Linked DNA regions of Arabidopsis thaliana. The protein of the gene in region 1 interacts with the protein of each later gene in a pairwise test. Each region holds a gene or a part of one and is shown in the gene's direction. Other genes may lie near its edges.

Region 1 (4,477 bases):
TAGATCGTCTCTTGTTTTTTAGACTGATCAGTTTTGTTATGTAAATAGGTTCTCTAGAGGATTGACGAGGAAGCCTATGGCTTTGATCAAGAAACTGCGGAAAGCGGTACAAAACTCAAACTTCTCCATCAATAATTCTTTGTTCTAACTAGATCTTTGCCCTGGAACGTGTCTTCTTAGATTGTGTCTTCTCAGATTCATGCCTCTCTATATATGATTTTTGCAAGCAAATGGCTTTAAAACGCTAAAGGTTGTGACTCTCTCTGTATGAGCAGAAAATTGAAGCACCAGCTGGAGAGAAGCCAGCAGCAGTGAGAACCCACCTAAGGAACATGATCATTGTGCCTGAAATGATTGGAAGCGTCATCGGTGTTTACAATGGAAAGACTTTTAACCAGGTCGAGATCAAACCAGAGATGATTGGACATTACTTGGCTGAGTTTTCAATCTCATATAAGCCTGTTAAGCATGGTAGGCCTGGTGTTGGTGCTACCAATTCCTCCAGATTTATCCCTCTCAAGTGAATAATCAAGCTCTTGTGGAGTTTTGTTATGCTCTAAATTCGAGTCTTTCGTTTCTTTTTCTTTTAGAACATTTTGTCTTTCTTTTTCTCTTCTCTCCTTTAGATTTTGTTCAAACTCTTGTTCATGCCTTCAAATAATACAGAGCTTTTTATTTATAATCTATTAAACTTTGCTCTGTTTATTGAGTATTACTTTAAATTTAGAAAATAATTCAGGATTTATAGATAGATATCTTTCAATTGCATTTTTAAACTGCATATATTAACTTCAAAAAAAAAAAAAAATCAATATCTGGATTGCTTAGTTTTTTTTCTTTGTATTGCAGATCGATGGTTGTATATTGAAAATAAAAAATAACACAATGACCCTATTTATAAATAGAAGAAAATTTCAATTTCTTTTTTGAAATTCACAAACTATATATCTATTTCTATAAGATATCTGTACATAATTTCCTTGTATTTCGAAGATAAATACAAAATGTATGACCAATTTTATCCTAAATCAGTTAATTTTACATTAAACTAATAATTAAGTTTTGATTTTTTGGGGGAAAATTGTGTATTTATATGTTTTAATTATCAGTTTTTATAAGGTAAGAAAAAAAGAAGTTTTTCTATTATAAGGGAAGAAAAATATTTAAATATTGATTCATATGTTATTTTAGAAAGACAATAATGTAATAATTGGTAAATATTTATTGACGTTTCCTTAAACAGAAACACTGTAGGATCTATAATACATCTGTGTATATATATATATATATATATATATATTGGGTGCCAAGTTATGTCTCTTGTCGTATCTCCATAGCAAAACCCTAGTTGCAGTCACTTTCCCGGCTTCTCAAACCAAGAACAATGGTTAGTTTCTTGATCTCCATCTCTTTAAACCTTAATTATTCGATTGTTAGATCCTTGAACCCATCATGGTCTTAAATTTCTCTGTCGAAATCCGTAGGCTGAAGTCGAACCAGATGTTTCCGCAGCTGCTCTTGCGAAGAAGAGAACGTTCAAAAAGTTTTCCTTCAAAGGAGTCGATCTCGATGCTCTTCTTGACATGCCCACTGATGATCTTGTCGAGCTCTTCCCTTCCCGTATAAGAAGAAGGTTTTGATCCCACCAAAAATTTTGGTAGATTATATAACTCTTGTTTTAAATGATTGGTTTTGTTTAATTATGTTGATTATTTTGTAGGATGAGTAGAGGATTAACGAGGAAGCCTATGGCTCTCATCAAGAAATTGCGCAAAGCGGTAAAACTCTAACTTTCCAATATAAATCTCTGTTGTTATTGTGTCATAGTTGTTATTAGTCTGTGATCTCCCAACATAACAATAATTTTAGTTAGGATCTGCCTTTTGATTGGTTGGCTTTGATTATTATAATAACACTAGTCTCTAATTTACTTTAAACCAGAAACTAGATGCACCAGCTGGTGAGAAGCCCGAAGTAGTGAGAACCCATCTAAGGAACATGGTGATTATGCCTGAAATGATTGGAAGCATCATTGGTGTGTACAATGGAAAGACTTTTAACCAAATCGAGATCAAACCGGAGATGATTGGACATTACCTTGCGGAATTCTCAATCACTTACAAACCCGTTAGGCACGGCAAGCCCGGTCATGGTGCTACACACTCCTCTAGGTTTATCCCTCTCAAGTGAAGCCATTTCAAGACTTCATTCTGCTTTTACAATTTCTTTTGTTTTGCTCATCTAAATCTATCTTCTTATCATCATGTCTCTGACACTCTAGTGTCTTTAAACTTTTCTTATTATCGTAAAAAAAATTCTTGGTGATTTTCTCTATAATACTTAATACCATTATGAGTTTGGACTTGAGTTAGTCTTTAATTTTTTTTTTTTTTTATCTCAGTCTTATTTTTTATTTTATTTTATAAGTCTTAAAATTATTTGATTTTGATCCTTATATATTTTAATAATCTACATAATGCGTAAAAATACACTTTTCACTTGAAACGGTTACAAGATAAAATAATAAAATCATATGTAAATGTATTAATAATGAATGTTCACAGGTAAAGAAGGGGTGATGCATATGAGACGTAAAATACAATATAGGTATTGCTAACTTTAAGATTTCTTGTAATGTTTAGTATCAATAGCTTTAAAACAAGTATATATATTAGGTTCGAAAGTAAACTTAAAAGGGGTTATACAACTAAGACGTATAATGAAATATAGGTGAGTTTGTTGAAGACTAACATCACATTCTCACAATCGTGCAGTGAGATCTTCTCACCAAATTTTTTTGACTCTTATGAATCTACATTCTAAGATCTCTCTCATCTCAATATTATTTAAGAAACCATTCTGTAAACAATATATAGCAAAACACAAACTCTCTATACTCACAACATTGTTTAACTCATCTTTCTAAGTTGGTTTCGATTCAAGAATATCACAATGACTAATGTTCGCCTTCCTATTCTCGTCTCCTCGGTCTTGTTCCTTGTCTTTATTTCATCGTCCCTCTTGTTCCCTACACCTAGTTTTGCTGCTAGAGTAAGTCATTCTCTGGTGCAAGAAGAGGTCAAAAAGGTTCCAGAATACACAGAACCTGAGGAGCCGGAAGTTCCAGAAGAGCCGGAGCTGCCCTCACCGGAGGAGCCTGAGATTCCAGAAGAGCCTGAGATTCCAGAAGAGCCTGAGGTTCCTGGAGAACCCGAAGTTCCTGAAGAGCCCGAAGAACCAGAAGAGCCAGAAGGGTCAACATTTGAATTTCCATCATGGTTTCCGAGCTTTCCTATTCCCGGTGTTAATGGCGGTTTGCCAAAGACTGAAAAGACAAAACCTACATCAACAGTTGAAGAGGTTAACGTTTCTAACAAGAAGCCATAGATCAATGGGTAAAGAACGTCAAATGATTATATAAACTATATATGCAATTATAGTTTTGGTTTGTGTTTGGTTAAAGATGAGAGATTACATATGTATTACAGTATTAGAGTCCTCACCATGTCATGATTGAGTCTCTAAACGCTCCTGATATAATCTCGTACTAATTCTCTCTTGTAATATGTATATCTCTTGTGGTACAAAAAATATATATATAACTCTTAAGTAAATCATGTAATGTAAGATATTTAATTAAAGATATAATGTGTCAATTGTCGGTGTATATGACGTTCGTCTTAATGAAACATCAAATTTTATGAGTAGATGTTAGATATAGAACATTGGTTTCATTGACCAATATTGGTTTATTCCTCTAGCTTCAATTATTCTTTTTCTGTAATGCCAAGGTGTGCATCAAGACAAAACAAGAAACATTGTGCTAAAAGCTGGAACCCGTAATTCAGGACTAGTACACAAACACAACTACTCGTTGCATTATTTTCTTCTCAAGTAGTTTGTCTTCTTCCATTCCAACTTGTTCAATTTCATTTCTTCTTCTCCAAACATTTTATTACAAAAGATCTATTATCTCCCAAACTCTTCTTTTCTTTCAATTCCCATTCCTCAAAACATTCTCTCCTTACAATAAAATCCTCCGGTAATCGTTTCAATGGGCTTCAAACCATTTCTTGAAGGTGGCATCGCCGCAATCATCGCCGGAGCTCTGACTCACCCATTAGACCTCATCAAAGTCCGTATGCAGCTTCAAGGCGAACATTCTTTCTCGCTCGACCAAAACCCTAACCCTAATCTTAGCCTTGATCATAATCTTCCCGTGAAACCTTACCGACCCGTTTTCGCTCTTGACTCTCTCATCGGCAGCATTTCCTTATTACCCTTACACATTCACGCGCCGTCTTCTTCCACGCGCTCCGTCATGACCCCTTTCGCCGTAGGGGCACACATTGTCAAAACCGAAGGACCCGCCGCTCTCTTCTCCGGCGTCTCCGCCACCATCCTCCGTCAGATGCTTTACTCTGCCACCCGTATGGGTATATACGACTTTCTTAAACGAAGGTGGACTGATCAACTC
Region 2 (4,320 bases), on another chromosome or scaffold:
CGAAGCTGGATCATACGCCGGATCACATGCCGGGTCTGGTTCGGGAGGACGTTCCGGGTCAGGCCGTGGAAGAGGAAGTGGAGGAGGAGGGGGTCACGGTGGAGGAGGTGGAGGAGGAGGGGGTAGAGGTGGAGGAGGTGGATCCGGTAACGGAGAAGGATACGGTGAAGGCGGTGGATATGGTGGAGGATATGGTGGTGGCGACGACTGAATGAAGAATATTGCATGCATGCAATATTGTGTTTTATACGTAATTATATTATGTTATTAGTATGAGAAAAATAAAATGCTTGAAAAGTAAACTTTCTAAAGTGTGTGAGTACAGGAGATGGAAAAGGAGGAATTCTAATGTGTTTGGTTCGTAATTATATACCCTTCCATATTCGAATTGGATTCTTGGTGTTGTATATGTTTTACTTTTGTACTATAAGTTGTAATTTCCCAATTTAAATGTTATGTACTAATTTTATTTCGTTGTTTCTTCCTTTTTTTCCTTCGGTATATTTCGCTTATAGCAGAAAATAACACACATATATATATATAACGATATAAGTTATAACACAAAATATGATTGTATGTATATCAAACAACTGAAAGAGCAAACACGATTTGGAGACTCGTCGTTCAGCTAAACAAAAAAGACATCAACCAAAAACAAAGTTTATAGCATGAAGCCATGAACACAATTCAGCTCTGTTTTGTTTCTTTTTTGAAGAATTCGATTTGCATTTTTAGGTTTTGTCATGTGTTACGTTCAATATCTTAGATAAAAACATATATGTAAAATAAAAAATGAAAAACGAACCAATCCGTGATATACATAATTTAGATATGTATTATCTGCATAAGAACTTCTGATAACTTAAGAACACCTCTTACAATTTGGGTATAAACTTTAAACTCAAGCATTAGATTTAGAAGTCGTTTACATAATTTAACTAAGCAAACGTGTTTGTATTAGATCCAAAGAATTAAACAGCATGATCGTTATTATAATTAGAACTATAACTTACTATTAGTTGAATCCAGTGACTAAAATAACCTTATTTTAATTTACACCTTTCTTAGTTAAAAAAATAAACCAAACACTGATTCAAAATAGAAAAATAACTGTCAGAGAAGAATTTTCTCTTTAATGACTTTTGTATTCTATATGAGGATTGAACATTATGGGTTATTCATAGCAATAAAAACATAACCAATGTGAATGTATAGTTTCGATCTTTCTCGAACAATGATTTAAGCACGTGTCGTAGGTTGAATAAATAATTCATAGTGGAACCATAGATTAGTGACCTGTACGAGTGATTGGTTTCAGCGTGCAGAATCCACTACCTCGCTTCCACTCAATTTAGTGGACCGTCGACTCTGGTGGGTTTGGTAGCAGCAGAAGATAATGCACACATTACCTGAATCCACATTTTTAAAATATGCACTTGCCAGTTCTATTATCCTGAAAGTTTCGTTAGAATAAAACGCAAGCGAAATAATAATCCTATCAAGCATTTTAGATAATCACTCATTCACTCTATGACTTGTCATTGCTGATTTGCGGTTTGATGCAAAACTGTGGAATATAATGATTTAAAGAAATTTATAATGCGAAAACCTTTTCATCGTCGTGGTAGAAGTGAAACCTCAATTCTTTTTACAAACGCTTTTTTTTTACCTCACCGGTGGTTTAAGAAAACCTTGCGAAATAACATGGATTAAGCTAAGATTTGTTCTTACCTAATTTGTAATTTATCACATTCACACCCCGGATTACAATTTCATTTTGCATATTAATATTGCCAATCAAAACATACATTTAACTAGACTAGAAATGTGTTTAATTAAGTATTCGTAGTTCTCTTATCTAAGGTAGTATGCGTAAACTATAGGGTGAATTTAATATATATGCTCAGAAGAATGAAAAATAAAGAATCTGACCATGAAGTTTTGTTATTTAGTTCTCTTTCATCTGATTCACACTAATGCCAAATATACCCTTCGTCACATATACACGTTAACAAGAAAAATATCAAGATAAAACAATTTATATGCAACAATAAAAAATGAGTTTCGGCGGTAACAAGTTTAGGTAGTTAATTATTTGATTAGTATGATAAACATGTCTTTAAAATATAGTAGCAAGGTGAAAGCACTATTCATCTTACGTCGAAAACATGTTTCTCGTGTTAAATCTTGTATTATATAATATGTATTATATAATAACATATTTATTTATTTTGGTAATTTAATTATTATTGTTAATTTATACATTAACAATTTAGTTATCACCCTAACATGTCTTTTAAAGTGGTAAATTGTATGCTACTTATAGATAACTATTATACATAACGAATTATTATTTTTTATATCATGTTAACATTCAGTAACTAATAAATTAACAATTATCTATTCTTATAACATATTAATTTATGGATTAGCTTATTTATTTATCATGCTAATTTGTTTATCACCGGTAATTTATGAGTTATTATATACGTTAAACTTCTTCTTCTTTTTTTCTTCTCTTTCATTTTCAACTCTTTTTCTCTTACAAGGGTAAAAATGTAAAAACATCACTCTCTATCTTACCTATCTAATTAAGAAAAAAACATGCATATATACTTAATTATTCACTCTTCAATGCATATCCATTATAATTTCTCTAAACTATAATAAAACGAAATATGATAAATGTACGTAGGTTAAATTAATTATGGTGATATACACGTAGCGGCTCACACAATCCCAAAGCTTCTATAAATACACGAACATGTTATTCATTTTTGTACCTAATCAAGTTACACTATAAACTCAAACACATCTATCGGCAAGTCTTAACACACGAAGATTTCCAAAATGGCTAAGGCCGAAGGTCTTTTTCTTCTTGGTTTAGTAGTTATTTCAAGTTTAGTTATGTTAACCGAGAGCCGACTCGCAAGAAAAGACTTGGGGATTGACCTAGGTGGGATTGGAATCGGTTTGGGCGTTGGATTGGGGATTGGTCTTGGCGGCGGGTCGGGCTCCGGTGCTGGTGCAGGTTCTGGATCAGGTTCAGGTTCCAGATCATCATCTAGCTCCAGCTCATCATCAAGTTCGAGTTCTAGTGGTTCGGGTGGTTCAGCTGGTTCATCTGCCGGTTCATTTGCTGGCTCTAGAGCTGGATCAGGATCTGGTAACTAAATTATAATAATTACTTTTCGACTTAAAGTGTGAAACAATAAGTATGTTTTATGTTTTTGGTTCGTCGTAGTTAATATCGTATGTACGGAATGGAATGAATAATTTGTTACCGTAAGTTATGTTTTGTTTGAGCGAGTGTGTGTACCTAGCTTACTCTCTCTATTCAAGTCTTTCACCAAAAGTAGAATCTCTTTAGATTTGGAACAGAACATGTTTGATTAATCGTAAATTATTGGTAATTCGAATTTGAGATTAATCTTCAAAAAAAGAAAACAAGTTTCCAAATTTTTTAATAAGTTAATCAACCCATATGACCCACAGGTTATAGTTACCGGATGAATATGGGACCAGATTTTGATATCAAATATTATTCTCCACATTGAATATAACGTTATATCAATCGAGTTAGTGCATCTAATGATGATAGTATGTATTGTAATAGAAACTTCAATCTTTTTAACGATTGTGTTTGTATACGACACGTTTACAAAACAAAGTTAACATGTTCTTTGTAATCCCCAAGTAAATAAATAGAAACGTCTGGATAGTTTATGAATATGTTCAATATAGATGAACCAAACCGAAAACATCAAAGTTTTGATATGAAATTTAGTTAAAATTTGATTTCTTTTATTTTTATTATGTATCCTCACCATTAACAAGCGTCCACTTGAAGAAGAAAACTAAACCGGGAAACTATTGATTACCAACAAAATTATAAAATACAACAAATAAAATAATAACTTTCTTACAACACAATCCAACATACTCGAAGGCTTACACCAACCTCAGTGTAATTTGGCCTCTCTAGGTATGTCGCAAAACCTAACCCAATGATAAAAGCGTTAAACTATCCTAGTTTTTTTTTTCTCTTTTCTTAATTATTGCTGTTATAATTTCAAAATTACGTATAATATTGAAGCAATGCATTATGACTTAAGCAGGATAGCTTCAAGACAAAGTTTCAAACAATGGTTAAATAGTGCTATGTATAAGTAGCTCGACGGATCTTAATTGCTTACTCCATTATTTTTAGAAAAATATAATTTGTAAATCAAACAGGATCTTGCAAATCTTTTCTTGCCTGAATCAAATTTTAGTTTAGAAACAAAGAATCTTCTTTAACAATTAAAAAGAATCTTCCCC

The links. The genes of interacting proteins can lie anywhere in the genome.
Region 2: the proteins of AT5G09480 (region 1) and AT4G30450 interact in a two-hybrid assay, tested with the Arabidopsis thaliana proteins (one large-scale study listed by BioGRID).

What each region holds. Positions count from the first base shown.
Region 1 is NC_003076.8:2,950,091-2,954,567, reverse strand, and holds AT5G09480 (hydroxyproline-rich glycoprotein family protein), read left to right. Parts: upstream 1-2,866; 5' UTR 2,867-2,952; coding exon 2,953-3,387; 3' UTR 3,388-3,706; downstream 3,707-4,477. Other genes in the region: AT5G09500 (Ribosomal protein S19 family protein), read left to right, coding at 49-106, 276-524; AT5G09490 (Ribosomal protein S19 family protein), read left to right, coding at 1,385-1,387, 1,485-1,633, 1,721-1,778, 1,942-2,190; DIC3 (dicarboxylate carrier 3), read left to right, coding at 4,055-4,477.
Region 2 is NC_003075.7:14,885,137-14,889,456, reverse strand, and holds AT4G30450 (glycine-rich protein), read left to right. Parts: upstream 1-2,672; 5' UTR 2,673-2,850; coding exon 2,851-3,174; 3' UTR 3,175-3,430; downstream 3,431-4,320. Other genes in the region: AT4G30460 (glycine-rich protein), read left to right, coding at 1-211.